Saccharomyces cerevisiae S288C: one gene and its partners. The gene in region 3 interacts genetically with the main gene of each other region. Each region holds a gene or a part of one and is shown on either strand. Other genes may lie near its edges.

The links.
Region 1: mutations in AVO2 (region 3) and YBR053C together harm fitness more than expected from each alone (negative genetic interaction), as found in Saccharomyces cerevisiae (2 studies listed by BioGRID).
Region 2: mutations in AVO2 (region 3) and ERF2 together harm fitness more than expected from each alone (negative genetic interaction), as found in Saccharomyces cerevisiae (2 studies listed by BioGRID).
Region 4: mutations in AVO2 (region 3) and HXT5 together harm fitness more than expected from each alone (negative genetic interaction), as found in Saccharomyces cerevisiae (2 studies listed by BioGRID).

Annotation. Positions count from the first base shown.
Region 1 is NC_001134.8:336,151-344,382, forward strand, and holds YBR053C (regucalcin), read right to left. Parts: upstream 4,602-8,232; coding exon 3,525-4,601; downstream 1-3,524. Other genes in the region: DNA-binding protein REB1, read right to left, coding at 1-668; protein phosphatase regulator REG2, read right to left, coding at 1,033-2,049; RFS1 (flavodoxin-like fold family protein), read right to left, coding at 2,570-3,202; YRO2 (Yro2p), read left to right, coding at 6,951-7,985.
Region 2 is NC_001144.5:623,232-631,448, reverse strand, and holds ERF2 (palmitoyltransferase ERF2), read right to left. Parts: upstream 4,332-8,217; coding exon 3,252-4,331; downstream 1-3,251. Other genes in the region: E3 ubiquitin-protein ligase IRC20, read left to right, coding at 1-2,765; CDD1 (cytidine deaminase), read left to right, coding at 4,519-4,947; methionine aminopeptidase MAP1, read left to right, coding at 5,118-6,281; putative signal sequence-binding GTPase GPN3, read right to left, coding at 6,428-7,246; sterol homeostasis protein ARV1, read left to right, coding at 7,566-8,217. UniProt on the Saccharomyces cerevisiae protein: The ERF2-SHR5 complex is a palmitoyltransferase specific for Ras proteins. Palmitoylates RAS2, which is required for its proper plasma membrane localization.
Region 3 is NC_001145.3:399,728-408,084, reverse strand, and holds AVO2 (Avo2p), read right to left. Parts: upstream 1,782-8,357; coding exon 501-1,781; downstream 1-500. Other genes in the region: NAT4 (N-terminal L-serine N(alpha)-acetyltransferase NatD), read right to left, coding at 1-376; UBX4 (Ubx4p), read left to right, coding at 2,512-3,762; SOV1 (Sov1p), read right to left, coding at 3,848-6,544; KAR5 (Kar5p), read right to left, coding at 6,869-8,357. UniProt on the Saccharomyces cerevisiae protein: Component of TORC2, which regulates cell cycle-dependent polarization of the actin-cytoskeleton and cell wall integrity.
Region 4 is NC_001140.6:291,223-299,930, forward strand, and holds HXT5 (hexose transporter HXT5), read right to left. Parts: upstream 5,226-8,708; coding exon 3,447-5,225; downstream 1-3,446. Other genes in the region: hexose transporter HXT1, read right to left, coding at 1-1,403; PAL2 (Pal2p), read right to left, coding at 6,163-7,138, 7,263-7,387; SFB3 (Sfb3p), read right to left, coding at 7,923-8,708.

The DNA of each region.
Region 1 (8,232 bases), on a different chromosome or scaffold from region 3:
CCAATTTGTCTGTCATCGTCATCATTATTGTTTTTCCGCTTTTTCTGTGAATTCTCATGATTATTTCCGTTATCATGCTGTCTTTTACGCGAATTGCTATCGTTCGCAATACTGTTATTATTATTGTTATTTTTCGATAGAGTGTAAGCAGCAGCGACGGCGGCCATCGCCATAGATTGATGATCATCGTCCACACCAACACCCGCATCTTTCTTATTCTTGTCGTCGTCGTCATCCACGACTATGTCAGATTGAGAAAAGTGATTATTACTGTCATTGCCGTTGTCAGTGTTATTATTGTTTTCGTCATCTTCGTCGTCTTGTTGATTATGCGCTGTTTGCCTTAAATACCAATCCATAACTGCGTTATGTTGTTCATTGGAGTTGGCATGATCCACATTCGAAGATGATTCGTTCGCATTCAATGCGCTAATATTTTCAGAATCATCATTATTATCCTCGTTTCTATTACTGTCATCATTGTTATTAACATCAACATCACTACTACTTTCCACAATATTCTGCTTTTTCGAGTGTTTGTTTTCCAGATCCTTCGTATGCAATTGAGGGTCATGGTTCTGGTGATCTAGACCTACACCGACATATTTCAAAACAGCCTCTTCCACAGACTCTTGATTTGCGTTTTTATCGTTATGACCTGAAGGCATATTGATTGAGCTATAAATATTCTAATTCAGCAGCAACACGTGAGTTCAAACTAATAACGATAGTGTGTAGATAACCTTGCTTGTGATGATGTTTATTTATTTACTTTAGGTTGGGTCCACAGCAGGGTAATAACAGCCTGAGTTTTGTTGTTTTATCTTGTGTGGTCAAGAAAGCTGCCATTTGTTTGTCGTTGTCCTTTGTGAGGGTAGGTCCCTTGGCCGCCTTTGGTTTGCCACCCGGCATGGGCCCAATTTGAAAGACGGGTAACAAAGTTGTTGCTATATATCACGTGATCAATTTTTCCGAGGAGCTTCTAGAAGAAAATGAGACACAATTTCAATGTATTGAAAGTTTACGTAAAATTTATAGGAGCAGGTTGGGTATACTGGTGTCTATGTAAGCGTCAATGTCATTTTCTGTTTCAGCGTCAGTATCAGTATCAGTGTCAGTTTCCGACTCGAAAATGAAGGTCGAATGACTTGAAGTTGACGAAGGTTTTACGGGGGAATGATGACTTATGTTGGATAACTTGAGATCGGAGTCAACCCGAAGCACACTACTGAAATCTGTTTCTCCTGCCTGTAACAAAACATTTCTTGGAACATCGCGAACATCGTGCCCACGCTGATAGTCTCCACTATTACTACTGATAATGGCAGTGGCAGCGGCAGTCGTAATAATTGCGTCACTCGCGACGTAAACGCTGTTATAATCATAGAAACTTCGCTTACTTGCTGCGTTGCCAATACAGGGATCTAGTTCAGACTTTGAACAAGGGCGCTGTTCATCAGTCGAATTCAACCGTGTAGAAGGAAGCCTTTGTATGAAATGCTCATCAGTTATAATACACTGTTCAACGTTATCGTTAAATTTGATATGCCTCTCTCGTGGCTTGCCCATTATATCTCTCCTTTTGCGTGCCTTAAACCAGCTTCTCCAAAAAAGGTTCTCCAATCTTTGATCATTGTCCACTTTCTTGTGTTTTTGTAACGGTAAAACATTTTCATTTTTTACAGTGTTGTTCGAGCTTCTCACATGCTTATTATTTTTATTGTAATTGTTTTTACTACTACAATTGATAAACTTGATGAATTTCCATAAATTTAAATTCAAGATTAAACTTCTTTGCTCGTGAAAGTCGAAATTTTTCTTCTTTACTGCTGGCAACATGCACATTCTTTTCTTGTTTATTTTCCACTGTTTGGCATTCAAAGACTTGATTTTTTTTAAGCAATACGTACCATTTGCAGCGGCGGGAGGATATCCCATATCGTTTCTATTCATCAAAGTTCTGACCGCCTCAACGAATTTACTACTTTCTTCTTCCTCTGGAGGGTCCTGGAATAAGTTATCCAAAGAGTCGCAATTACTCAAAGTCATTCTCACACACTTTCTTGTTCCTATTTTTTTTTTCTTATTCCAATATATTATTTTATCAGAAGACAGACAGCAAGAACGACAGCCTAAGTTTCGAGACAACGCTAAATTTGACGGACATGCGAAGACATGCCATATATAACAGTACGTCCAGGAAGAAGCTGCAACTCAAGAAGCAATAACTATTTTATGCATTATTAGTTAATTAAAGGGGGTATGGTGTGGCTAAAAACGAGTAAAAAAGCAGCTTGTTGCGATGTTAGTAATGATAACTATAAGGTTTCCGTGTTGACACAATAAGCGTATAAATTTAATCACTCCCCCCACGTTTTTTTATCCAGTGCTGCCCCGCCACATGCAATCGGGCCGTCGGAAAAGCAAGAGAAGGACAAACTATCGGGCAAATGGCCTGGAAGGGACCTTCCCCATTGGCCCTTGACTATAGTCCTTCAGTCCTTCAGTCCTTCAGTCCTTCAATGTTACAGTTATACCATATCGTACTTATGTAAAGATATATACGGTTTTACAAATCTTTGATACGGTCGTAAAAGGCCTTCCCTTGAAGTTGGTGAACTCTTAGCTCGGATAAACTGGGAGGTCTGCCACCGTCGATTCCAGAAACACATCCTGCGCCCCAGGCGCAAGACCCGTTCACATCTTCAACGTCGGTCAATTCCTTGTATGCGTTCTTATACCCCAATGGGACATAAATGACACCATGATGGACCAGAGTACTCATTGCGTTCATGATACACATTTCTGTATCACCCTTGCCGCTTATTGCGCCTGAAACAAACAAACCGGCAATTTTGCCATGGAGAGAACCCTTTGCCCAAAGCCCACCAGTATTCGAGTCCCAAAAGCTTTTCCACTCCGCGGGGAAGTTTCCAAACTTAGTAGGTATTCCGAATAAGTAGTAATCGTACTCAACCAACGTTTCTCTTGTTAGGATTTTATAGGAAAAATCTGCATTAGTTTTGGCGACTTTGGCTGCCTCTTTTCCCTCTTCTGTCGCATATTCAGTTTTATAGCTGACGTCTGGCACTTGGAAAATCTCAGCCTCACCACCAGCTATCTCTATACCTTTTTTTTCATTTTCTGCTAATGTGGCAATTATATCGTCCACTGAATAAATCAAAATAGCGACTTTCGGCATTATCTATGTGGCGTAGTATGTGCTTATAATAGTGAGTAGTATGCTGGAGGTCTTGATGTTCGATGTTTCTCGAGAAAAGTGTGATATAAAATGTGGTTTCTTTTTATTTCTTTTCTTTTCCGCTCTTTTATGTATTTTTGATTGTCCGCCCCTTAGGTGTTCCCTCCTTATAACTAGGCAACCAAAATGGAACGGCTATTATTCGATGTATAAGGACAAGTTTGGGAGCTTCGCTTCAATTTGCCCATAAGCGGTGTCATATGACGCTAGTTACATGCGCTGGATACGTATGCTGCATATATATAAACATATGTATATACACCTAGTGGAGAGGTTGTCGCTTTGTAGATTCCAGAGGAACATTTCCGTCTAGCACGTTTGGAATTTTGTAGATGCAGCCACCATTCTTGTCAGTATTGGTTCTTACAGCATCGTTGATTTCTGCATTGGCAGTGGTCACGAAGAGATCTTTACCAACAAAACAACAACATGAAACTCTTGGTGTCTGCTCCGGCAAAATGAACTCCTTCAGCAATTTTCCGTTAGTTAAATCGAACATTTGAACCTTACTGGTGGACCAGACAGTGATAAACAGAAACCCAGAATGTTTTCCGTCTTTGCTAAACCAAATTGCACTTCCATCTGGTTCAGGAGACTCAAAAGATTGATTGTTGGAGTTCTTCACGTCAATTAACTCGTCACGTTTTAGCAAGTCGCCACCAGGACATTTCCAAATAGTGAAGTTTAAAGAATCAGTCACGTACATCGTCTTTTGATCACTTTCATCCCAGTGGATCGCGTTAGGAATTAACAAGCAATTCCAAACAAGCTCTATCTTGTGAGCTAATAGGTCAACACGAAGCAAACACCCAATAGGTTCCAAATCAAATGGAAAATCGCTCATTAGCCCCACATAAATATATTTTCCATCTGGCGAAACGTTCCCATCATTAGATCTCAACTTATATGCTCTGTCTGTACTCAATTCAGGACATTCGGAATACAAAATGACATATTCCCATTCACTTTTGCTAAAATCCAATTTTCCTATGCCAAATTTACTACCAAATAATACTTGTTTGATTTCATTTTGTGAAGCCCCATCAAGTATTGGAAATATACAGCCCACGGATTCTTTTAATTCATCTGGATTGGGAGGGTACTCAATTGACGCATTCTTGCCATAATTGGCTCTACTAATGGAAAAAAAAGAATGACTGGATTCAGGCTGTTCTATGTCTTCGACTTTATGAACCTCTCCTTTAAAAATATCAACCCACAACAGTGTACCGGTTTCCTTAACGAAGGTTATTCCTTCACTATGTATGGCACCGGGAACGTGATAATAAGGTTTTAAATCATGCAAAATAATTTCTTCAAAATCGCCAACACTACTCATTTTACGAAAAGTGTCTAGTTGCTCAATGCATATAAACTTAATCTAAGAATCTTACAGGACATCTTCATATATGTCCATATGCTTTGAATAAGCATTGGCTTCCCCTTAAAGCCCGACCGGGTAAACTTTCACCTAGCTGTTCTTGGCGACCATTAAATAATTTTGAATGCATTTCTAGGAACAAAATCAAGTGCAAGCTACAGCTTTACAATTATAGAATCTGTTGACCAAGTAAAATGGATGAGAAAATTTACGTACGATTTTGTTCCTTATCCATTCAGCTTCTCAGTTAGTCAAGAGGTAGCTGTAGCGGCTTAACGAAAAAGGTATTAAAAAGGGACATACTTTTTTTATATCTTTTCCTTTGGCGTTCACAGTTACTCTTTTAGAACTCCTTGTTGTTGTGTAATGCATTTACCCATTCCCGATATAACTACCACTTTGGAGAACTGTAGACAAAGACCGCTCTTACTGAGTATACATTTTACTTTCGTAGACCGACTTTTAACTCTATTAGGAAAAGCAATTGACTTTTGAACTTCGATGACGATTGTGCAAAATACAAATCGTTTCAAGCGGTGTTCGGAATAGCTCACAGAAATGGCGAAGATATGTTGAAAAATACATACCGATGTCATTTGTGAAAAACAAAAACACAAGCTACAATTTGTATATTTACTCAATTACATATACCAATTGAGTAATAATTAAACAAGAAGGCAAAAATAAACTAAAGCAAAATAGTATACCATCTTTGGTTCCTGGACCACATTTTCTCTCAATATTTTTGAGATGTTTTTCTTTACTTTGTTTTAAGTAGTCTTTCCATCTCCCTTCAACGGAAACAAGTGCACGCAACATGTTATTTTCCTGTTATCCGCCCTGAGCAGTTTTCTTCCCCGGGTGGCAACCATTCTCCAACATTAGACAAACTTTACAAAGAAGACACCCTACCCGGTTGCCTCCAAAGCCCTTCTTTCTTAACGCGAGTACCGCTTTGGGAGGCCTCATCTTGGTTGTGTCCTCGTATGGCAGCATCTGCCATTGAGCGAACCCTTTCCCGTTTTACGCGCATGGCCTAGACCGATCTTTAGCAGACATGCCGAGTGAATTTACCTAAGATTTCTAAGGACTCTTCTGCATGTTTCCGAAAATCACCGGAAAAACCTTCGGTTTTTTTAGACGAAAACTAGGAAGTTGCTTAGCTTTCCTTGTCGTCTTCAAATCTATATGCCATCGGAAGAGAATCAGAAGAGAAGATCACGACTTAAGAGCTTTGCTGTTAAGATAGCAAGAAAGCTTGCCAATAGGCAGTTATGTAACCTAGTTTATCTACACCTTCTTTGATTAACTTAGCTATGTAGGCCGGTGTGTTTGTTCATATCACGGCATACGTTAACACAATGTAAATCTTGCTTTGGGTTGACTGAGGGAAATAACTATAGACATCACACCAATGGCTAAGGGATATTTCGACCTCGCTATGGGTTCTAAATGAGGGAATGGAAAAAAAGGGTAAATTGAAAACAACCTACCGATTTTGGTACCACTTCCGTGATTTTCGATTCTTCAATTTCCGCATAATTTGCCTCAAATAGGAAATCTGAGCTGTTTTTTTCTTACCCTCGAGTGGTCGTTCTGCGGACTTTTCTCCGGTCCAATGCATGAATCCCTTTAAGAAGCATGAAGAAAAAAAAAAATAGCCTCTTGTAAAAGCAAAAATGCCTTTCACTATTTCTGTGTAAACGAATAATTTCGTCATCTTAGTAGTTCACTGGATAATTGTGCTTTCCAATCAGATTAGTTAGTAAAACCCCTAGAAAATTTCAATGTTAGATCGGGATGATTCCTCATCGGGTTGTTGCTTATTCATGATCCTTTCAATTACTGGAAGCTTACCGAAAAGATATATAAAGAACCGAACTTATTCGGTTTACATGTAAGACAGTGTGTTAGTTATGGTTTTCCGCCCTTTTCTTCTCTTGTTTTCTTCGATATTTGTTATTAACCTTTTCTCATTTACGATTATATAATCAAGTGTCAAGATTGTGTCAGCAAATAACAGTAATATTCCAACCCGAAAAAAACTATCTATTTATCTTTGGATACTTTAACATAGACAAGAAGTCCTAAGAACTTACCATAATTTTTTTTCTAAAAACCCTTTTTTACTCAAAACTAATAGCTTATTCTGGTTATTTTTAATCAATCTAGAATTTTTTTCTTTTAATTCCAAACAATCTAATAACGTTTAACCACTAATTCTTTAATTATTAATATTTAATTTTAAAAATCTTCTAATTTTCCTGATAACTTAAAGTGACACTATTTTTTAAAAAAAGCATCAAAATGTCTGATTATGTTGAACTATTGAAAAGAGGTGGTAACGAAGCCATCAAAATTAATCCACCAACCGGTGCTGATTTCCACATTACATCTCGTGGTTCAGACTGGCTTTTCACCGTTTTTTGTGTTAACCTACTATTCGGTGTGATTTTAGTCCCACTAATGTTTAGAAAACCAGTTAAGGACAGATTCGTATATTATACGGCCATTGCTCCAAATTTGTTCATGTCAATTGCTTATTTCACCATGGCTTCTAACTTGGGTTGGATCCCAGTCAGAGCAAAGTACAACCATGTACAAACTTCTACCCAAAAGGAGCACCCAGGTTACAGACAAATTTTTTACGCTAGATACGTTGGCTGGTTTTTGGCTTTCCCATGGCCAATTATTCAAATGTCTCTACTTGGTGGTACTCCATTATGGCAAATTGCTTTCAATGTTGGTATGACTGAAATATTTACTGTCTGCTGGTTGATTGCTGCCTGTGTCCACTCTACTTACAAATGGGGTTACTACACCATTGGTATTGGTGCTGCCATTGTTGTTTGTATTAGTTTGATGACAACTACATTCAACCTGGTCAAGGCCAGAGGTAAGGATGTCTCTAACGTTTTCATTACTTTCATGAGTGTCATCATGTTTTTGTGGCTGATTGCTTACCCAACCTGTTTTGGTATCACAGATGGTGGTAACGTTTTGCAACCAGATTCTGCTACCATTTTCTATGGTATTATTGATTTGTTGATCCTATCTATCTTGCCAGTTCTTTTCATGCCATTGGCTAACTATTTGGGGATTGAAAGATTAGGTTTAATCTTCGACGAAGAACCCGCTGAACATGTTGGTCCAGTTGCTGAAAAGAAGATGCCATCTCCAGCTTCTTTCAAGTCATCTGATTCTGACTCTAGTATCAAGGAGAAGTTAAAGCTAAAGAAGAAGCACAAGAAGGACAAGAAGAAGGCTAAGAAGGCTAAGAAGGCCAAGAAGGCCAAGAAAGCCCAAGAAGAGGAGGAGGATGTAGCCACCGACTCTGAGTAAATGCTTTGATCTGCTGATGTAGCAATGTTTTTTTCCTTCTTTTTCCTGACGTATTATTATTTGAGACCGAAACTTCGCTGGAAAAGAAACACTTCGATCCTTTTTTTATCTTCTGCATTATAACGCGCAACGATGAAGTGTTAATACATGAAAGAAGATGGGATTGGATTGTAGCGACCAAAGGCCACAAATAAATATGCACTGTTTTTAAATTTTTTTTTCATTAAAAAAATACGAATAAATTCCT
Region 2 (8,217 bases), on a different chromosome or scaffold from region 3:
GCATAAGGCATTCGAAAGCCAATGTTGCGTCTCAGATTCATATTCCGCGGCAACACAACTTCATCATTCCCCTGGAGTTTGCGCCTATCGAGTGGGACAACTATTTAAATCTTTGGAACAATTTTTTAGAGTTGAGTGGCTATAATTCGGATGGCAGTGGATCACCCCGTGTAAGCAATGCCTTTTTAAACGAATGGTTGTCTAGGCTGCGATATATATGTTGCCATGCATTATTTCCAGAAATTTTAAGTACCCGACAGAAGCGCCTTCACGGGCACTTGTCAAGAATTTCAAATATAGACGATATCTTAATATCCATGCGAATGGATGCATTTGACAGTTTAATTGGCTATTACAGAGAGAGATTCCATTTATCGATCAAGCAGGCACAGTATGAACTTGAAATTTCCAATACTCCGGCCAAAGCCCTTGAATCATTTATCAAAATCAGAGATGATTTGATGATACACATACGCCAAAAATTCAACGTTGAGGATCCGTTTGATAAGTCGTTAAACCTCAGTGAAGATGAGGACGAACATATGGACGAGAGGTTTGGTGAGAAGGAAACATCTTCAGGCGACGAAAGCGATAGAGAAATAAATGGTGCTAAAAACCATGATAATCACAACAATGACGGAATGTTATCCAACCACCTGAAGAAGAAAGGATTACGTGCTATGATGAATTTACTGCATGATTGCTACTTCTTCCTCGGTTCTGTTTACTATAACTTGGGCACTCGTAAGCTAGAAGAGGCGGACGACAAGCATCGAAAAGAGAAGACTGAAGAAGTGGTGTATTCTGATGTTTTTCCAAAAAATGAGTTAGAGGAAATTGAAGAGAATAGACTTTTAGAACAAGAAAATTATGCGAATGCAGAAATTTTGAGGAAGTCAATCCTCTCCTCTGAGGCTAGAAAAGTTGATATGACTATTAAAATGGCCAGAACTAAGTTTGCTCCTATGACGAGCAATATACCTTTGCGATTAATCAATATTGAATTTGACCACAAAAATGACTACTCATCTAATTTAGCAGTATCTCGTTGTTTCAAGTCTTTGAGTAAGTTGATAGAAGGGTTGAATGAACAAACTAAAAACTTCAACGAGTTATTGGATGAGTTACTCATTATTATCTATGAACCTGTCCACAGGACAGAGGACGATGATAGCACTAATAAAATTATCGGTAATGAAGAATATTCAACATCGATTGACAGTCAAGATAAGATATTCAGTCTTCTTGGTTGCTTGGAGATAATTTTACAGAATAGGGACAATATTTTAACTTCAGAATCAGAAGTTAAAATTCCGAAGCATTTGGTACCGGAAGGTTCAATAATTTCAAAATATCAAAAGCAGTTATTGAACAGCTTGCGCTTGATTTCAGGAACACCTCTACGAACTGTTTTTGATGAACTGAAGAACAGCAGGATAGTAAGACGGATATCCTCAAGCAATGAAAGTGAATCTACCATTCAAAATTTTGAGGACTACTTACTTCAGTACGAAGTTGAAAGTAAAAGCCTGTTTAAGTACAATAAACAGGTAAGAGAATCTTTGAAAATCCTGGGATCGATTTATAATGCCAAGACGGAATATTATAGTCAATTACAGAGGATTTCCGATTCATTGGTGTCCTTGCACTCTTTGAGTGCTCCACAACTCAGCCATCTAATAAGAACTATCAATAAGTCATTGGGCGGTACACTAGATGCAAAAATCAATAACATTGAATCACGGCTGATATATTTAAAAAATTTGTCCAGATTGAAAGACACATTAAACGATAATCAAATATTGAGCTGCTCTATCTGTTTGGGAGAAGTTGAAATAGGTGCTATCATTAAGTGTGGACATTATTTTTGCAAGAGTTGTATCCTTACGTGGCTACGAGCCCATAGTAAATGCCCTATATGCAAAGGTTTCTGTAGTATATCGGAAGTCTATAACTTTAAGTTCAAGAACTCAACGGAGAAGAGGGAAAAAGAAATTCAAGAGCCACGAAGAGAGGGCGCCGATTCGTCTCAAGATAATTCAAATGAAAACTCGATTATATCCAATATGAGTGAAGTAGAAAAATTATTCGGAAATAAATACGAGCAATTCCATCAAATTAATGAAGTCCATCAAATTCACATAAAGGAAAGTTTTGGTGCTAAGATTGATTTCGTCATCAAGTTAATATCTTACCTGAGGCTAAAAAGTGAGCAGGAAAACGCTGATCCGCCACAAGTTATTCTATACTCTCAAAAGACAGAATATTTAAAGGTCATTGGTAAGGTATTAAAGTTGTATCACATTGAACACTTGGCATGTCTATCTAATACAGCCAATGTTGGCGAAACTATAAATAACTTCAAACGCCAGCCTTCCGTCACTTGCCTACTTTTGAATGTGAAAACTTTAGGTGCCGGCCTGAATTTGATAAATGCAAAACATATTTTCCTACTAGATCCTATCCTTAATAATAGTGATGAATTACAAGCTATGGGAAGGAATAATCGTATAGGACAAGATGAAGAAACTTTTGTGTGGAATTTCATGATCAGAAATACCGTTGAAGAAAACATCCTCAGATATAAATGTATACTCGAAGAGCGCAAAAGAAAGGAGAAGTCAAAAAAAGGCGATAAATACGACGAAGCACAAGATGAAACGGATAATGAGGAAAGCGATGATGCGAAGTTTGAGATAAGCGTGGTAGACCAAGAAGTCAGTAATGAACACTTATGGAACTGCTTTTTTCACGGTAGTGATTAGAGAAGTATGACTTTTAAACCAGACACTAATATATTAAAATATTTAATCTTTTGAATTTTTATATAAACGGTTGCCGTAATTACTATATATATATTCAATGGTAGGAAAAAAAGATGCTGCACGTTGTCTGACATCTGAAGAAGAGTGCTAATATGTAGCTTCAAAATTTTCGGAAGGCAAAAATAATGGTTGCTAAGAGATTCGAACTCTTGCATCTTACGATACCTGAGTATTCCTACAGTTAACTGCAGTCAAGATATTTTCTTGAATCAGGCGCCTTAGACCGCTCGGCCAAACAACCACTTATTTGTTGTAAAAGTTATACGAAAAGAACCTTTTAATGAATGTTTTTTTTAACATTCTAGCCAATTTCCAACGTTTATTTGCGTATACTCAACCTATACTATGGCGGAATTCACTCCTTTCAGTAACCTTTTTATATTTTACGTACTACTGTGTCGCTGAGTTCTTTATATCTATACTTCCTTATATTTTCTGTATTTTTTCAAAGCTGTGTGCTGGCGATAAATCCATAAATCTCCAATCTCCAGCTTCATGTGGCTTTCTGGCACTTACAAAGCTTGGGCCCCTTGGTTCTAACATCAAGTGACCCATATTTTTCAAAAAGGACCCCTTATTATATATGTTTTCCTCCTTGACCACACGATGGAATACAGGGTTTTTTTTCGATCCAATACCTTTCAAAAATTCCCTTGTTGTTTGCTGATTACCTGCCATAAATATGTGATAAGTAAACAGTATTGCCGGATACCATAAGGTTAGCCCTGCATAGCAAAGTAACAATATTGCAACGGGACAATCGCGAGGCCCCCCTGATTCCCGTGCAATATGGATGGCACAATTAGTTAATAATATGACGGACGAAAGTATTGCACCTAACAGGAATATTAAAAAGAACCGGTAGTTCCTTTTTCCTATGCAATTATTGACCCATATGCAATGGTGGTCATGAACCATTACGCAGACGTTACATGTGGAACAGTGAGAAGACCGAGGTGGTCTCCATATCCTACATGATGGACAATACTTGATAGTAATGTCTTTTGAAATTGAAGAATGTGTTGGTAGTGTTATCAAGTTGTAATATTCTTGCGGGATCTGATAATTATTTCTTAGTTGACTTAAATGAATATTTCTCGGAAGAACGCCAGGATCACTAGTGGCTGTTCTGATAAAGGATGCTAGCGTTATGACCCAAAAATAATAGAAGAAAATGACCAGCACTTTATAACCATTTTGGGTATGCCACAATTTGTGAGCCTCAAATATGGAGAAGAGAACCATGGGACATACAATAGCAAGGAGAACACCTAACCACAACGGTTTGGCGCCCTTTACTGTCCTGAACCTGCCACCAAGGAAGAATATATAATTCGAGACATTCGGTAACGATATATAACCTTTTCCATCGTTTATATCCTGATCACCCTCCAAGGTAACAAGCCATCGGAAGAACAACTTCGTCAATGAACCTTCTCCTGTATGCTCTTCCTTTGTTATTGAGGTGCTTTCCGATCTTGTCGACCTTCTAGAGACCAAGGCCATTATCTTCCCCGTTTCTCTTCTTGTTACCTTACGCTTTCTTTCCTTTACATTTTTATATTTGCAAACTGTAATCTTGATAAGGCGCTGCTCGCCAATTTCCGAGTAGTTTGACAAAATAAACACAAACTGTTTATGTACAAGAAACTAGGAAAACCAAACAGAGAATCTCAAGCAGAGAAATAAGGTAATGAAAGTAGGTGGCATAGAAGACAGACAACTGGAAGCCTTAAAAAGGGCGGCACTGAAGGCGTGTGAACTCTCCTATAGCCCCTATTCTCACTTCCGTGTCGGTTGTTCCATATTAACAAATAACGATGTTATCTTCACTGGTGCTAATGTCGAGAATGCAAGCTACAGTAATTGTATATGTGCAGAACGATCTGCTATGATACAAGTTCTAATGGCAGGCCATCGCTCAGGATGGAAATGCATGGTCATTTGTGGCGATTCTGAGGACCAGTGTGTTTCCCCTTGCGGCGTTTGCAGGCAGTTTATCAATGAATTTGTGGTCAAGGACTTTCCAATAGTCATGCTTAATTCCACAGGTTCTCGTTCTAAAGTCATGACAATGGGAGAACTGCTGCCCATGGCTTTTGGTCCATCTCATTTAAACTAGCAGCAATCTTTATTTGGCTGCTCCCCGAAAAGAAAGCGAAAATTTTTTACTTATTTTTTTTTTTTTTCATTTTTCATATAAAGAAGAAAAACTGATATTATTATTATTCATCCCAAGAACGCTATTGTGTATATTCCTAGCAAGAAAAAAATAAGCAAAAAAATTGTATAATGAGCACTGCAACTACAACAGTTACTACCTCCGATCAGGCTTCTCATCCTACCAAGATATATTGCTCCGGTTTGCAATGTGGTAGAGAAACTTCGTCCCAAATGAAATGCCCTGTTTGTCTAAAACAAGGCATCGTTTCCATTTTCTGCGACACAAGCTGTTATGAAAACAACTACAAAGCTCACAAAGCTTTGCACAATGCTAAGGACGGCTTGGAAGGTGCTTATGATCCTTTCCCAAAATTCAAATATTCTGGTAAAGTGAAGGCTTCATATCCACTTACCCCAAGAAGGTATGTCCCTGAAGATATTCCTAAACCGGACTGGGCCGCTAATGGGCTACCAGTCAGTGAACAAAGAAATGATAGACTTAACAACATCCCTATATACAAGAAAGATCAAATTAAGAAGATTAGAAAGGCATGTATGTTGGGTAGAGAAGTTCTTGATATTGCCGCTGCCCATGTCAGACCAGGCATCACTACAGATGAATTAGATGAAATCGTCCACAATGAAACAATTAAGAGAGGTGCCTACCCTTCCCCTCTTAATTATTACAACTTTCCTAAATCGCTTTGTACCTCTGTCAATGAAGTTATTTGTCACGGTGTGCCCGATAAAACTGTCTTGAAGGAAGGTGATATTGTCAATTTAGATGTTTCCTTATACTACCAAGGTTATCATGCAGACTTGAATGAGACATATTATGTCGGCGAAAACATTTCTAAGGAAGCTCTTAATACTACTGAGACCTCAAGAGAATGTTTGAAACTAGCCATTAAAATGTGTAAGCCAGGTACCACCTTCCAAGAGTTAGGTGATCATATTGAAAAACACGCTACCGAAAATAAGTGCAGTGTAGTAAGAACTTATTGTGGACATGGTGTTGGTGAATTTTTCCATTGTTCCCCAAATATTCCCCACTACGCCAAGAATAGAACACCTGGTGTTATGAAACCAGGTATGGTTTTCACCATCGAACCTATGATTAATGAAGGTACTTGGAAGGATATGACCTGGCCTGATGACTGGACTTCTACCACCCAAGACGGTAAACTGAGTGCTCAATTTGAACATACACTGTTGGTTACCGAACATGGTGTTGAAATCCTAACAGCCAGGAATAAGAAATCACCAGGTGGCCCAAGACAGAGAATTAAATAGATCTAGGTATTTTTATCTTATACATATAGAAACCAATAAAAAACTTGAACTTGTACTTTCCCGAGTCCGAATTGGTTATTATGAGAAGCTATTTTTTTTTTTTACCTCTTTTTATATGAATCAAGCGTACATAATTTTCTCTATAACTATTCTTCGACATCTATTTGGTCGTTAGGCTCTTTCTGTTCTTGTCCTTCTGCCCATTGTGTTATATCATCGACATACGATAATATGGTTTCTATACTGTCAGGATTATTAGATTCCAAAGGTAAAAATTGAACCATACCGAAATCATCGACGAGGTTGGCTATGCACTGGTTCAGTCTTAGAAATTTAGGGTTGGATGCTTGATTCATTCCTTCCGTTTCCATTAATAACATTGCATCGGGATTCAAAAATCTTTTCAGTTTTTTCTTATTGATGTCGCCTTTTATCAAGTCTAGTTTGCTCAACACATTGATATGGGGTAGTTCCAATAGAATCATCGCAGACATAGCAGATAGTGCACCGCTAAAAAATTTTGAGCTATCTATCACAAATGGCGCTTCCAAAAGATATGTGGCGCAAAGGTTGAAATTCAGTTGTTGAGTTAAATGGCGCACTATGTTCGGTAAGACAGGGATATGCGTGTAGAGTTCAATTTGACCGGGACAGTCAAAGATTAAATATTCATCGTTGAAATCCCCGATCTCTTCGTCAAGCCAGTCTAGATTTTTCAAAAGATATTCGAAGCAATATATTAGCGCACCATTGGGGCCCAAATCCATTTCTTCCATGACATCATCTAAGGAAATTAAATCTCTAATGTCAATAGTAAATTCATACTTGGTAGCTTCTGCGGCAGGGTCTAAATTTACAATATGAGCTCTTCGTCCTACAGTTTGCATATGTGATATAATGGAATTACAAAATGTGCTTTTCCCCGCACCTGCAGGTCCTAATACCATGACACCAACGCGAGACATTTTCCAATGCTGATTACTCTATTTGTACTTGTTAAGTTTTTTTCACGATCAGGATGACTTGCCAACCTCTTAATTATTGATCTTTCTTTTTTGATCTTTCACCTCATCATTTTAGATTTTTTGCAAAATTTTTCTTAGTATTTTTTCAGTTTAGGGACAGCGGGCCAAATTGAATAGCCCTATGTGAACAATTGATGATTCAGAAACATCAATGGCATAAATCAAGCTGAGAAATTCTTGTCATTGCATAGAAGGAAGGTTTGGTGCGTCAGTGAACGGATGAAGCGCATCAAAAAGTAGATATTAGCTGTGATAAACGATGATTTGCATAACGTGCATGCGGCCCGTAGATTCCCTTTATACAGTGTACTCGAATGACCACATTCAGCTGACAGATTGTCCATATTGCCAAGAGACAGTAGACAAATATGTTGAGATAGATAATGTCCTGTTATTCATTGATTTGCTTCTATTAAAAGCAGGTGCATATAGACACTTGGTATTCAATGCTTTGGAATTGCATCTCTCAAAATATCCGAAAAGAAAAGCGCTAAATGATTGCCAGTGTTTGCGTGACTATACGCAAGCTTTGTTATTTAACGTAAAGAACTGGTTTTGTAAATATGACCGGTTAAATCGCCTTTGGCTTCTACTATTATCATTCGAGATTTATTTAACTTGGGTTACTGAGGAGAGTAAATACATCTACTATTTGAACCGTAACAATAATGATGGTAAGCTCATCATGCTTTCAAAAAAATTACCAGAGAGCTTCAAATGGGACTCGGCAATCATGCGCAATACCATTACAAGTAAAGTGTTTACCTGGAGCCCACCAATACAATATCTTTACTTTGCAAGTTATTGTATTCTTGACGTTTCTTTATTCCACACCTTTACCCAGTATTTCATACTGAAAAAGTTGCATTGGAAGCACTATTCCGTTTCTTCAAAGGATGTCATATCATATA
Region 3 (8,357 bases):
TGCCGTACATAATGCGCGAGGCCCGGCGATACTTGGCGCCCAGGTGCTTGTCTATCAATTGCACACAGGCGTCCAGCACTTGGTCGCCGCGAGATTTGTGCAGCTTGTAGTTTATACACTTGAGGCTGTCAACGCTGTCAATACTGTCAGTGTCATCTTCGGGGATGTAGATAATCTCCCTTTCTAAAATAGCGGTGGTGAAGTTACCGTTTCCATCTGTATCCTTGTGCTCGATGGATTCAGGAAATTTTTCCACGCATAAGTTTAAGAAATGTTGGAACATTGGCGCCATGGCGACCCTCCTTCTTTCTGTTAGGTGCTCCTTCGATGTTCGTATACAGTTGTAAGTGTTCTCACTATATACCGAAGAACGCATCTCAGTGGAAAGAAAAAGAAAAAAGAAAAAGAGCTAAGAAAAAAATCTTTTAATGGCGCGCGCGCACCGCGCATACATATGTGGAAAAAAGGATGCATATAAAAAAAAATACGTAGTAGTCTTCTCAATCTTCTGCACGCGTGTTATTGCTATTTCTTAATTTTGAGATGGGTATGTTCAGAAGTGACACTCGTCTCCTCGGCTCGCCATTGTTTACCTTAATCTTGTACTTGTTCTCGTTCTCATCGTCCGGGTCCTTTCTTAGTCCCATTCCTATAGTGGCATCACCGCCATTGCCGCCGCCACCGTCATCGTTGATTGTAGCTGTCTGTGAGTCTCCTCTCACGTTGTCATTGCTCTTGTTAGGCAACAAGTATCTATTAATCAACGCGATGTTGTTGTGCGGACTTGTTGGTGTTGCACTGTGTCGTACTGATTCAGATACAAGCTCTTTCTTGGGCGACACACCTACTGGAGTCTTGACGTTGATGGAGTTCACTCTTAGTCTCGAGCTGGAATTTGAGCTTGACGAAAAACTGTCCGTAGACAAGGTTGGTTTTCGTGGGTTGAATACTGGATTTGTGATAGAACTCCTCCGATTCCCACCGTTACCGCTTGTTGTATGCGTTGATATCCTTCTTGGTAATACCGGCAACGGACTATTATTGGAATAGAGCGAATATGGCGAATTCATGCTTAAAACTGGGGAAGGCCCGTCCTCGAAAGTGGCCTTCGCATTTAGTATAGGAGTTCTGAATGAACTTGGTTTTTTGCCTGCACCCAACGGTGGCCCCTTCTTTTTCACCTCTTTTAACACTTTTGAATATATATTACCTACTTCAAACGTTTGTGCTACATCTATTGGCTTCCAATTTCCCTTGTCCCTGACATTATCATCCAAGGACACCTCACCTTCATTGAGAAGCATCTTCATACAACTTATACTGCCATACTCCAGGCATACATGCAGCGGCGTGTCGCCATTAGTGTCCATTACCCATAAATCAGCACCAACTCCTATCAACAGACTCAGACATTGGTAGTAATCGTTCATACATGCTATATGGATGGGGGCTCTACCATTCTCTCCGCGATGGTTGATAAATCGCGGAAATTGTTGCAAAAGTAAATGTAAGGTTTGCTCGTGCCCTTTCATTAATGCTAAATGCACACAGGTGTTTCCTTTAAAGGTTTTTATTAGTTCATGCTTGTCGTGCCCCAGCTGAATTAAATACACGCATATAAGGTATCTTCCATGGTATGAGGCGTAATGTAATGAACTCCATCCGTTCTCTGAGTCTATGTTGGTTAGCAAATCCGGATTCCGTCGCAATAATCTTTTCACTATAAGTAAATTGCCTTCAATAATAGCCTCCCGCAAGCGAACTGAGGGCTCTTTCAACATCTTTTGTTCAATATATCCTCTTTTCTAATGGGCGTTTTTTTTTTTTATTTTTAGGGTCCAGTTGATTTATACATTTTCAATTGTACCAGATCAAAAAAGTCTAGAGGAAAAAAACGTAATTAAGACAGAAGAAAAAAAGTATCAACTCCGGAATAACCGGGCCGCAAGAGAAATCAAACAATTAGTTGCACGAACATTTTTATCAGGAATAAGCAGGTAAGGGTAGGTATAAAGGTCAGCTCAGTACACGTATATCGTGTGAGTTATCTTTATTAAAATAATGATTCCAGAATAAGCGATGAGAGAGTAACGCTATTGGAATATGATATGGGAAATATCTTGAAACAATTTCAATAATTTGTCCATGTTTATGCAGTGTTGTACAAGCGTTTTTAAAGAAACTGTATAATATTCAAGATAGCGGGCGCCTCAACCGCTGTTTTGCTCCTCTTTTCTCTTGGAACTCTTGCCAAGAAAGATGTACGCCTTATAAAACGCTAGATGCTATTTCTTGCAACTTTATTACAAAATTTCAGCACTATTTCTTGCAATCCTAGATGTTTCCCTGTCTTCTATCTTCGATGTTAATTTAGACGTTTCTTCAAAGATTCAAGTTCTCTTTTATTGTACTATGTGTGGCAAAAAAAAAAGAAAACCAAAAAATGCAAAAACTAAGATAAATCTACGTACTGCGAAGAATAGCAAGGCAGACTAATAAGCGCACAATACAATGCCTATGGTTACCGTGAAGTATAACTTCCAACTTTTCAAATGTAAAGTTTCGTTGAATTCAACACTAAACGATGTGTTACACCAATCCATACAATTCTTTCAACTGCACACCTCGTCAAACGACTGGTCATTGATACATTTGGATAAACCGGTGCCATTAGATTTGCCATGGAGGCTTCTAAACTTACCAACGGGTGTCAACTTAGAATTATCTAAAAGTAGTAATTTTCCGGTGGCGAATAAGACCAACCGCGAAGATATTCCATTCAATACGATCAAAATACGGTTTCAAATCCCAGGAAGAGATTCCGTGGTTAAAGAAATGCCATCTGACCAACCAATTGCCCCTATCTTGCGACAGATGAGCGGCGCTGCGGGAGATGATTTTAAGATCCAGGTCTTTTCCAAGATAATAGAGTTCAAAACAATTAAGGATGAGAATTTGACTCTCGAAAATTTAGGGATTCAGGAGCCTTCGTCAGTTAGATTGATTTTTAATAATACATCTCATTCTGAGGGCATTAGCGCTAATAGCGCTATTCACCCAAAACAAACTCCCCCTACGATGACGAACCCGGAAACGGTTGCTTCACTACCACCTCACGAACTACATAAACCTTCTGTGTTTTTGCCCTCGGATGAGCCATTAGCAGTTATCAAGGATCAAATCGAGGATGAAGAAGATTATGAATTGACAGTAGAACAAGCCAAGAAATACCAAAAAATGTTATCATCGAAGGCTGGTACTTTGGGTGGTCCTATTTTGACAAAGAGACTTAGAGAGCAATCAGCCAACAACTTGCCAAAGAAAAATAAGGCTATATCTGAGTGTTTGCTGAGAGTCAAGTTCCCCGATAGAAGCCATATTCAAATAGCATTCAAACCCAATGAAGACATGCGTACAGTTTATAACGTCGTGTCGCAGTTCCTGATCGATGAGAACATGCCTTTTACGTTAAACCAATCTCATCCTTTCAAACCCTTGGCTAAAGACGATAAGAAGCTACTGGATGACCTGGAATTTGGCTCTAAAACAATGCTGCTTTTTGAAACAAATTCAAATTCTAATGGCCCATTAATAAAGGCTCATCTTTTGGAAGACGCACAAAAAATCACACACGAAACGAGGACAACCCCATCAGTTAATACGATAAATAAATCCAATCCACAGGGCCCTTCTGATAACGCTACAAGTATCAAAAAGACTTTAAATAGAGTACCTAAATGGATGAAATTAAGTAAAAAATAAATACAAAGCTAAACAGTCTCCTCTTTTAACTTTATTACAAATATGTACACGTATAGCTAAAATTATATAAAATGCATCCGTTTTTTTAGGCTTTTATCTTTAACTTATTTACATCTTCTATTAATTCTTCGAGTAAAGTAAACTCTGTTCCTAATTCTTTAAAAGCATCTTCTACCATCAAGAAAGTAGAACAATCACTTTTTTCCTTCCATTTTATAAAGATCAAAATCTCCCTGATCAAATGGGATATTGTATTCTCTTGATTTGTACCCTGTGGAATGTTTTTTAAGATTGACTCATTATTCATTAGCTCCGCCTTCCGTAACTTGTACTCACAAGCATCTTTACTGATGTTACTAATATCTCGTAAATATTGTCTTTTCAAACCCTTTAGAATATACATACTCAAATCGTAATCAATATTCAAGTCAAATTTTTTCGTTAGAAACGTTAATATGGCAGGTATTGCTTCTAAATCCCCGCTTTTCATGAACGTGGACACAATTAATTTAGAAAAAGTTTTGTCTGGCAAAATTTCACCATTTTCTGCCGTCATTTGGAACAATACTCTTGGGTGACAAGTTGGGTGAATCTTTATCTGCCTTTTTATTAATTTCTTTACAATGGACGACTTTTTCGATAAAATCCTAGAATTATTTTGTAAAACATGATAATAATGGCAATACACAGACCAAATCTTGTGGTACAGCGGTTTTGTTATGATGCGACGGTTGTAAAATCGGCAAGGGTTTGAGGTGGATAATGAAGACTCAGAGCTCACCTGTTGTTTGGATTCAAGTAGCGGATTGATGATCTCAAAACTTGAATTAAAGTCATACATGCTATCATAAAAATTGAGTATTTCTCTCAAAAAAACAGCATTTGGGATAACCTCTGACTCCTGCATTCTTTTTAAAAGTGACTTCACTTTCTGCTTAAATTCCTTTTTTCTAAATGAGGGCGTATTTTGTGCCTTCATATTTTGAATTTGAAGACTATAAAATTCAACAAATTTAGCGTAATGATATGCATTAACTTCCGAATAAAACTGATTATAGAGTAAATCTGGATCTGTTTTTGATTTCTTTGAGGCTTCTTCTAGTTTTTTTAAGATATTATATGCTTTTTCTTCTTCACCTGTACCGAGAAGTATGTTCAACAAGCCATTAAACTTTCTGGAACGTGACACACTGTTTAATTCCATCCACTGTCCAGAAGCCTGTTTAGTAATGAACTCTTCCAGAAAATCAGTTAATACAATACTTTTTGTTAAGGCCGAAACATTCTCAAACAGCAATTCATTGTATATTGGAGAATTAGTGTTATACTTAGTAATAACGCTCTCAAATGCCTCTTGCAACATTTTCACATTATTCTCAGGCACTACATAATCTTTATTTTGAGCAAAAATGTTTCGTAGCTTTTCAAAATCTTTCAACATATTTAGCTTGGTTTTAACAAGTAGAAATGCGGCATCTTCTTGTGTCGTTCCAGGTATTTCCATGTACTTGCTGATAAGTTGAGCCGCCATGGGAATATTTCTCTTATAAAGATGGAAATCAACAATGCTGATATAATCATGATCCGATGGTATTTCTAGTTCATTTAAGAACTCAGTTGCATGTTTCTCATTCTGAAAATTTTTAACTCCCGTGGGAAGTTCCTCCTGCTCATCTTTCATTCTGATTATTCCAACTTCTTCCACTAACTTAATAAATCGATCAGTCAGTATATTAGCTTCAGTAACATTGCCAATCGACAAATATTTTCGTATGCTCAATTTGGTAACTCTTGGGCTCAAATAAGAATACTTTGTTGAGTACTTTGCATCTGTCTCGGCTAAAAGTTTCCTGAAGTTTCTCAAGTGGTTAGACCTTAATGTGATCATTAATCCTAGTTCATTCCACCAGCGCTCGTTTACTTTGTCTTTATTGGTAATAAATAAACTGTATGCAGCCTTATAGTTTCCAAAAACTAGTAGGGATTCAATATAGAATGACTCATTTATAGGATCTAAACGAACTTTCCCTGTGCCATAAAGTAAATTTCCGACCAAGTAAATCCCTTTCTCCTTCATTTCTTGCACTGGTATCAATTTAACAACTTCAAAAGCTTGAGCAAGTTGGCTGAATGTGACCATTTCTGTTATTGACTCTTTCGGTTTGATTATGCCATTAAACCGTTCATTAAAACTTTTCAAAATCTCCAGTAAAAATGATGTACTCCTTAACGGTATATGGCCCTCTTGATCTTCAAATTGTTCTTGTGCTGATCGGAAAATATCGTTCATTATGGATTGCTCTAAGTCATCTTCATTTCCTTTCTCTTCATTGTATACCTGGGTTTGGCCGGTCGTGTTCAATCTTTTGATTTCTAAATCACACTCTTCGAGCAAATAATTGAAAACTGCATTAATTTTTACGGTGCTATTAGAGTCCTTGCTTTCTAAGGTTTTTTTTAATCTGTTTAAATTCTTGTTACTTCTTTTAAAGTTAGTTTCATTACAAAATTTCAGATATTGAATGAACGTTTCCTGGATAGTATCAAGAGGATTGATCTCCTGAAATTTCTTATTACTGAGAAGATTATTTTCGATTTCCTCTGATGTTTTTCCTTTCAAAATGAGACATTTTTCTGGTTCGTCTGGCCCTATGATGGTCTTATTAAGAACTTCAGGTATATGGGAGGCATAATTCAATGGCGCCCGCTTCAATCTATAAAAACGAATCTGAGACTTTGCTATCAAAGCGCTGCTACAGAGTGAGCGGTTGTATTTGAACATGAGTTATAAATATAGTATGGCCTTGTTTAATACGTTACTACTACCTAATGAATACTACCTGTGCCCATGATATAGAATCTCAAGATCTTTTTGCTTCGTCTTCAATGATAAAGCTGTAGGTGCTGCACTCGAACTCTCTTAAGCAAATTAACTTGGATAGTGACGTAGGACACCTTCTCTAGGTTCACTTGCCCGTATTATGGCCACCATGATCCGGTGTCCTTGAATTTTTAAAGAATATTTATTTTGCTAGACTTTGAATGCGGCTATATACCTATACATCTATGTATATATAGGCTTTCATATATTGTTACATCGGTAATGTTAAAAATCAATCAATGAGCCAGTCTTAGCTCCTAGATAAATTGAAAGTAGAAGAGCTGCCCATTGGTAATAGCGTTTAATAGGAATCATTTTGACGTTTACTCGAGACGTACGGTATTTTGACCAAATCCACACAACGGAGCACAGTAACCAGTAGTATTTATTCTTGACTGCAAGGTACCCACATCTTATAATCATTTTACTAGTTTTCCACATAAAATCCAATACCCTCATCATTGTCATGACATTTTTATGGACAAGTGAGACTCTGATTTCAATGTCGTCTAATTTTTTTTTTGTGCCATTCAGTTTCTCTGAAATATCATTAAAAGTTGAAAAAATCTCCTCATTCCATAAAGCAAAATCTCCATTTAGTGTAGATGTTATAGCTGTCCATTCTTGTAGTAAGGTATTTTTGAAGTTCGTCATCTCAGGTACTATCTCATCCGTCATGGATGGTAACAATGAATCATGAAGGATGGAATTGAACCCTTGCAAGAGCTCTATAGCTTCCATTTGTGATTCAGAAAGATCCTTTGACATGCCTCCTAACTGTTTTTTTAAACCCATCGAGAAGTTTTCCAACTCGGTATTAACTAACTTGTTATTTCTAGAGTAATATTCTTTTACGTCGTTGGACATTTCCACTAGGTCCTGTAAATTATTCAGGCTGTCGTCCTTCAAGTCATTTATCTTAGATTTTATGTCATTTTTAGCAAGCTCATCGGCTAGATCGCTCATAATATGATGGACGGTATCAACTTCATTCATTAGTTGACTGTTCTTCTCTATGATTTGGACCTCTAGTTGTTCGGAAGTTTCATAGAGTACATCATTCACTTTATTTCTAAAAAATGAGAGGTCGTTTTCTAAGATTATTCGATTGCTTTCGGTCGCATTTCGCAGTTCATTGTCATAGTTGCGGAACATCCTGGCCAGATCGTCCAAAAAATTTTGAGAATCTTGCTCCATTTGAAACATCAGATGATTTAACTTAGTATCGACATCATCCCCAAATGAATCATAAAGTTCAGTGATATTTAGAAAAAGTTTCAGTATCTGTTCTTTTTCAAAAGGAAGAAGATTTTCATAACAAATACTCGATAGTCGCTGATAATTTCCACTATAAGTTGTCCACCACTGTGAAGATGATTCTAGTTCAAACATACAATCCATCATTGATCCTAGGTCGTCAACCATGCAATTTTCTGGTATTTCGCCCAAGCCAGATGCCTGAAACTCGCATATTGAAAGTTTAATGGCCGTTTCTACCCTTGTTTCAGCGTCAATGGATTCAAGTCCATTTGCAATACATTGTGGCAAAAATAATTTTAGTGCGTCTTTAACACATGTTGATTTCAAGAATGGAAATTTGGATTCTAATACATTTGTCGCAACGGAATTATCTGTGTATATCAATCTTCCTTGCAGCAGATTGTTGATTTTTCCTAGTTCGGAGCTTGAAACAAACTTAATACAAATTGCAAAC
Region 4 (8,708 bases), on a different chromosome or scaffold from region 3:
GCAATAGACATACACTTGGATTTGACTCTTAATGGGAAACATTCTGAAATAACAACGTAAGCAATTGGGGCCCAGGTAGTAGCGAAACAGAAAATGTAGAAACATGCGAAAACAATCATACAGTTACCAGCACCCTTTGAAGATGGTTGATCTTGACCGTTTGGCCATAATCTGGTAACACCAACAGAGGCATAGACAACATAACAGCAGACCATACCGACAGCACCCCACATCAAACAGTTACGACGGCCAAAACGGTCAACGGTGTACAGAGAACAACAAGTGGAGAAGAAGTTGACGACACCAAAGACAATAGAAGTTTCAAAAGAGTCACTTAAACCGACAGCCTGGAAAACAATGGTACCGTAGTAGAAGAAATAGTTATCACCAGTTAATTGTTGTAGAGATTGAATCATGATACCCATCATAGTACGTTGAAACATGGCTGGTTTACCAGTGAATAATTCGCCCCAAGATGCAGTACCAGCGGCTCTCATTTCTTCGACACTGGCTTCGATAGTTTCCAACTCATATTGAATGTATGGATGGTCAGGTGGGCATTTGTTAACTTTAGCTAAAGAAGCCCTGGCTTCGTCGATTCTGCCAGCTTCAACCAAATAACGTGGAGATTCAGGAACAAACATCATACCACCAATCATAAATAAGGCCCAGGCGAAACACAAACCTAATGGAACTCTCCATTGGACAGAGTTTGAGTAATTCTTGGTACCAAAATTGGTACAGTAACCTAAGAAAATACCTAAAGTAATCATGACTTGGTAACATGAAACCAAGGTGCCTCTCATTTCACTGGGGGCGACCTCAGATATTAGCATGGGAGATAAAACTGTGATACCACCGACACCTAAACCAGAGATAATTCTACCAATGAAATATTGGTACCACTTGTTGATCGAGGCTATTTGAATAATGATACCGATAGTGTAGATTACTACAACGACAATCAAACCGATTCTACGACCATACATATCACCTAGCTTGGCTAAGACGATACCACCAATGGCACAACCAATGTTAAAAATAGAGACAATTAAACCAGTTCTCACCTTGGACAAGTAATGACTACCGTCGTGGTGCTTCATACCAAATCTTCTTAGAAAATCAGTTTGAGCAACAAAACCAGAAATGGTACCAGTATCCCATCCAAATATGAAACCACCGAAAGCAACCATAACACAACAGATAGAAACCGTTACGTAGACACCTTTTCCGGTGTTTGGAGGGGCAACGGCGGGTTGCACTTGACTTTCACTTAAGTTGTCGTGAAAACTTTCATTTTTACCTTCTGGAGTATTCATGGCCTTTGAACGACCAGATTCCAATTCATATGAGTTGGATGAATTGGATTTCTGAGGAGATATTAGATCGGGAGTTGAATTCATGATTTTACGTATATCAACTAGTTGACGATTATGATATCTTTATAGATTTTAAGGTGGGGAAAGAACATGAGACCCCAGATGGAATTGATTATGGGGACATTGTTGCCTTTATATATAATTTCAATATACTAATTCAAATGATTAAAAACGTGAGGGGGACACGCAACTTCGGGTGTTAAGAAATATTTTGCTACATTAGATAATGGTGGAGTTTCCTGGCTTGTCGGATAAAAGCCATCAAATGTCGCAGCAGCTCATGTTTACGTTTGCTGTCTTCTGCCCACGTCATATGAGTGGTATTCTTCTATCAGCACTTGATGAATATTCTTTTTCTCATATATCTGAAAGACAAAAGATCGGCACGGCAATGCCCTGCAGCATTTCTTCCTAGTTTTTCCGAATTTCCATTACGTATTGGATCTTGTGCGCATATTTGTCAGTCCTTCACGGAAAAAAAAAAAGAGCACTGGGTCACTTCGGAAAAACTTTTGACTCAATGCAACAGTGTCATAATCCTTTGCGCTGTCTCTTTGAAGAAAAATCAGGAGTGCAAGATATCGATTAATTCCTTGGAAGTTATGATGGTTAGTCTTAGTTTAACTCTCTTGAAGAAGGGTTTTTTCAGTTGGTCAACACTCTTTAGAGGTAAAAAAAAAAAAAAAAAAAAAAAAAAGAGAATTCTTCATGTAATTTACCATGATTCTACGTTTTTGCAAGCAAAAATGAAGATAATCCGAGCGCATGCGCAAGTAGTCCCTGCCATGCCGCTTCGGAAAAACTTTCGAAACCAATACTCCTTACATCCGCCTTGAATTTAGGACCTACAATTGTTGTCTCTTCTGCTTGAACCAATAAGCCCTAGAAACCTTACACCCTAATTTGCACAAGAAAACTACGAAAAAATTTTTTCCTCTTTTTTCCGCAGCTCCAATCTCGCCCTGCTATTTTTTTGGTTCGGAGAAAAATAGTCGGTCGATATGAATTGAAGTTTCATTGTGGCCACTCGTTTAGGAATGGAATAACCTCCGCGAATGGAAAAAAAGAACTCGGAATATCAAAAATTCCGGCTCAAAGGAAAAATTTGCTTCAGGAGGGGGGAATTATATTCCAGATGAGACCTGCAAGGATTTCTGTGTGAGGTTTTCTCGGAGGAATAATAGTTTTCCAAAAATTACTTTTGGCAACTACGTGAATATAATTGACTACGGATATCCTTCGAGAAGGCCATAAAAAGAACCGTGACAGGGCCAAACAGAAAAATAATGAAGACAAGTTTGCTTTTTCTCTCACTGTATTTGAGGATCGGAAGCTTTTTGCACTGAAAATATTCTGGGTTAACAAGGTTTAAAGAAGCAAACTGCCACAAAGTATATGAGAGTATAACCGGACGGTACCTATACTTTGAAGTTGGAATAAATACGGGGTAGACAAAAAGGATGTGTTTCTGTATGTCTGATGAGAATGATGTCATCAAAGAACGTAAACAACAGTAACTGTCTATATTCTTGCTTTTTATTATGCGCTGTTACAGCAGGTAGCGGAGTTTTCAGTTCTTTCCCTAGTATGTAGTATGAAGGATAATACGGTAAAAGAACGGGGCTCTTGATTCATCATATAAATTTATTTTCCCCTGTTGAAACCTCGAGTAACCGTCCTCACTGTTTTATTACCAAGGATGAGCTCGAGCAGTTGTAAGAGAGAAGTGGGCAGAAAAGTATAAGTAACAAGAAACGATATACAAGTTCTTGTTGTTAGGCGTAGCAACCCTTTCTCCCCTGGTTTGATCCTACTTAAAATAAAGAAAAAAAACAAAAACGTCATGATGATTTTGATATTATTAGACATACGTAATTTAGTTGAATTAAAGGAATAACAGGCAGCCCTATTAACCACGGACAAAATATCTCTGCATATGATTGCATTATTTGTAAACTATGAATGAACATATGAACGAAAACGATTAATATTAATATTAAAATTTGAAATGGTGCAATGCTGAACATTGCAAGTATGCGAAAATAGTTGATCCTACACTACAAGAGATTATTTTTCTTTAGTGAACATCCTTTTATAAAATGGTCTCGGATCATTTCTAGTAGCGTCTAGGTCATAATCTGTTGTTCTCCTAGATGGTGGGATCCATTTGGTAGACTTCCAAGGTAGCACATTTTCTTCATACATTTCGTTGACTTCTTCTAATGTTAAGCCCTTTGTCTCTGGAACAAAGAAGAACACATAAAAGTATGCGAACACCATACAACCCATAAAGACATAGCCATAATAGAAATTGATTGCTGAAGTAATAAATGGAGTGAAAAAACTGATCAAGAACCCCCAAATCCAGTTACAGGCACTTGCAATCGACATTGCTTTACCACGTACTCTTAAGGGATACGACTCAGAGATAAGGACATAGGCAACGGGGGCCCAAGTGGTAGCGAAACAGAAAATGTAGAAACATGCGAAAACAATCATACAGTTACCAGCACCCTTTGAAGATGGTTGATCTTGACCGTTTGGCCATAATCTGGTAACACCAACAGAGGCATAGACGACATAGCAACAAATCATACCTACACAGCCCCATAACAAACAATTACGACGACCAAAACGATCGACGGTATATAGCGAGAAAAAAGTCGAAACAAAATTAACAACACCCAAAACAATAGCAGTTTCAAATGAATCTTCCAAACCAACAGCCTGGAAAATTGTAGTACCATAGTAAAAGAAGTAATTGTCACCTGTCAGCTGTTGTAAAGATTGAATCATCATACCCATTAGTGTACGTCTGAACATCTGGGGCTTACCAGTAACCAATTCCCCCCAAGAAGCAGAGCCCGCCAATCTCTCAGCTTCAATAGAAGACTGATAGTTCTCCATTTCTAAAGTTACTAAAGGAGAGTCTTCAGTGGTTTTGTTAGCTCTTGCTAAGGACCGCTTGGCCTCTTCAATTTTTCCCACTTCTACCAGATAACGTGGGGATTCAGGAACGAACGTCATACCAACAATCATAAAAATAGACCATGCAAAGCATAAGCCTAATGGTACCCTCCATTGGACAGAGTTTGAGTAATTCTTGGTACCAAAATTAGTACAATATCCCAAAAAGATACCGAAAGTGATCATTAATTGGTAACATGAAACCAGAGTACCACGCAACTGCTTAGGCGACACTTCAGAAATTAGCATAGGCGCCAAAACTGTAATACCACCAACGCCCAGTCCTGAGATGATTCTTCCAATGAAATATTGATACCATTTGTCAATGGAGGCGATTTGGATGATGATCCCAATTGAGTAAATGACGACAACAGTCATCAGACCAATCTTACGTCCATACATATCACCGAGCTTTGACAAAACTATACCTCCGATAGCGCAGCCGATGTTGAAAATAGAAACCATCAAACCGGTTCTGACATCGGAAAGATAGGTAGTCCCGTTTGCACGGGTGCTGCCAAATCGCCTAATGAAGTCTGTTTGCCTGACAAAACCAGATATAGTACCAGTATCCCACCCAAACACGAACCCACCAAAAGCAACCATCAAACAGCAGACGGATACAAATAGTAAATCCGACTTCGATTTCTTCTCTAGTTGTTTGTCAACCTCCTTCTGAAGCTCTTCCAGTTCGTCTTTGGGAGGGCCTTCATGGGAAATGTAACTTGAGACGGGTTTAGCTTGTGCCAAATTATCGTTGTAACCGGCGGTACCAGGAGCAGTCGAGTTTCCTGACTTCTCGTTGTATGAGTTAGAATTTGTGCTCACAGTAGCAGACCCTTCCAAGGGGCCTTGATGAGCGTTTTCAAGTTCCGACATTCTTTCTTTACCTCTAATATATTCTTTTTTCTAGAAAAATAATATTTTTTGCTGGTTTTAACAAAGCTATGAAGTAAAATTGCAAAGTGAAAGCGAATCTTGTTTGCGTATATTATATATAGAAAAATTATTCAATCGACTTTTCTCTTTCTTTTGATAGTTTCTTATTCTTAGAGGGAGAACCGTTCGACTAGCATGAAAAGAAAAGAGAGAGACTCTTTTATACGTGAAATCAAAAAGAAACCAAACTTGAGGTACTCTACTAATGATTCTGGCCCTCCTTTCTTGTTTACTCCGTGCCCCTAAAACTAATTAACCCATGCCCATATATTCATCCACACGACCATTAATATTGAACATAAAGATATCATTTCACCAAGCAGTACTTCACTCAATAACAAGGTGTGAAATCCGGTATATTATTCCATCGCTATGAGTGCGGGATCAGAAAGTGAATTACTTACTGTCCCCTAATGTGCACAGCCACGGGGAATGCGGATCAACTGCAGAGAAAAGGGCGCACAGAGTTAGAATGCATCCCTTAATCCGGGAAGTAACAGTAACACGTCATGCGGATGTTTCTTCGGTGGGTATGGGTCACAATTTCGTCCACCAGTACATCACAGCATGCTCTCATTTCTTTACTTTTTGCTAGCAGATGATTACTTTCATTTCGGGTGGGATGGGCCACCTTTTTAGTTTATCCTCCGGGATGCCTTAAACAAGAAAATGGAACAGTGGGGATAAGACCCATAAAAAATCCGAAGTGATAAGTATTGATTGGTATATTCCCGTATCGGAGACCTTAACATAACATAGTGTAGTGATTTTGCGTATAGAAAAGTAACCAATAAAATAAGGTAAATATTGCTATATGAATGTAATAAATAAAATAATATATGGGCGCAACAAAAAGAACGCAAGAAAGAAGCATTGATCAGTGCTTTTTACTAGTTTTCAAGCTTTTCACCCTCCTTAATAGCTTGTTGCCGGTGTTTTCCTTTTTAACAACATCTTCGTGACCGCTTCCTTGGGTGGCAGTGACCGGAACAGAAGTTCTATTATCGTCTACGTCCTTTTGCTCCAAGTGTCCACTATGTGTTTTCACTAGCTTTAAATTGTTGTTGTTCACTTGTAGATGTCTTCTTGAGGGGAGAGACTTTTTTCTTGCTATGCTGTTTTTCCTACGAGATTCTTGTGCGTGGTTGATAACATCTTGCTCTATGGCAGCGGAAGACGCTGGTGCGCCATCCAGGAACGTCGTTGAGCCTAGACCCATCGTAATGGGCCCATGGACTAGTTCAGTTTTCATTTTGGAATCGAACTGGGTAATATTTTTTGAATTCGGTTTAATCGCATCCAAAGTCGTAGTACTGGAATTGGCCTTATTGAATAAATATGCTCTATCTTGTAGTTGGTTCAGCGTCTCAGAATCGTCGTCTACTGTTTCCCTACCAAACACCTCATCTAAGGTAGACTTCTTACTTGTGCGGCCGCCTACTGTATTATTTGGACCATCTGCTGGGAAGGCCAGTACAGGCGCCACTTTATTATTCTTATTTCTCTGTGGAGTGCATGCATCAAAGGGGCCGTCATGATGGAAAGATCCGCCAAATAATCCTGTAACATCCATCTTGTCAATAGTGTCTACATTTTTAGGGGGCTTAACCTTGGTTCTGCTTTTGCTCTTCTGCTTATCTTTGTCCCTATGTCCGTGTGATGTACGACGATGGTGGTGGTGGTTGTGTTGGTGACTATTTGAACCACTACTGCGTTTCTTTTCTTTTGGGTATGGAGCTTGCTGTTTCGGTGTCCCCGCAGCTTCTTCATATGATGGGAGTCTTTCTTGTCTAGAATTGGAAACGCTACTGTTATGGGCCCTCCTAGTGTCATCTTCATTTAAAAATGGGTTACTGCAATAATTATGGATTATCTCAATCGATTTTGAAAGGAGAAAAAGAGTTAAGTTAGTATTCTGAAGTAGTCATGACTGTTAGTTACACTGTAGTGCAATTTTGGGAGTGGAGCTACACATACTTATAATTCCTGGGCGTTTCATCCCTGCTTGATACTCTGTCCTCTGAAGGAGAAACTCTGAAGGGGTTAATCACTGTATTCACGCCATTTTGAGGACCGCCTATGGTCCTTCCTGTTTGATTCATTTGCGTCTGTTTGATATAGTATTCTTTGGAAAAAACGCTTCTGAAATACAAAATAGTAGTAATTTTGCAAGATTTACCAGAAGACAGTCAAGAAAAAATAAAGATAAAAGAGGAAGCAAAGCTACAGTTTTATCCCTGTAATTATGAGATTCTCTCATCCTATGTAGAATTTCACCCTTTCTCTGCCTGCGTTTCACATACTGCCTTTTTTTTTTTTTTGGCAGTATTCTCAGCATAGTCAGCGTTTCGCTGCCGAGAGCCCTTCTGTGGCTGGAACCCCACCAAAACACGAACCCAAAAATACTTCTCCTGTATTCCCCTTGATCAACGCCTTTCTACATGAGGAGGCGCAGGTGAATGCAGAAAGGCACAATATAGCCAACACGTAAAAATCACAATCATATCAGTCTATTCATTCATTTACGTATTTAATTATTTAGTAATGGATATACGAACCGCATCGGCCACAGCCACAACAATATGTCGTTATTTCCAGTTTTCTGCGTGTAAGCACAGGGTCTCCTTTGAGCGAGGCTCAAAACTGCACAAATTTTTGATGGATATTTTCGTGAGTTGCGGCAGTCGAGACTTTAATGAAATCGTCTTTTTGAAGTTTTTCTTGAATTTTTTTATGCATTATCACCAAGTAATTGTCATATGATTCGATTCTGTTGACGGTCTTGTCCTCGCAAAGCAATTGACTCATCACATTACTGTAATATTGATCAACATTAGGCCTCAACAAGACTAACGGCAATGATGACTTGTTGACTACTTGTTGCCAGTTTTTAATGACGTTTGAAGCCTTTTGATTAATACTAGTGCCCGTCTCAGGCAATGTTCCACTAAATAACGAAATTTGGCTGACGGGCAAGGATTCATCCACTGACAGCAGGTCTTGCAAGAGCATTCTATTGGTGTTCTCATTAAACCATAGATAGATAGTATCACCTTGGAAAATCAAGTAGCAACCGCCGTTAATGAAATTAGAGTGTGAGGCTCTTACAGATAGATTATTAATAGAGCTGGAGTTGATCTGTAATAATTTATCATTAGCATCGTAAAAGGTCAGATCAGTTTCCTCTAATAATACATGGAATGGCACAATTTGTGGATAAAGTTTGTAGCAAAGTTGTGCTGAGTTCAATGAATCGTACTTCAATAAATCATAAATTCGTTCATTACCACGGGTACTTTGAGCGTTTGGCTTCATTAATTCGCTTTTTTCAAATGCTAACATGTAAGCAGGCAATGTCTTTATAGAATCCGGCAGTATCAATTGCGTTGATGAGTTACTGCTAACCAATCCTCTATATTGGGT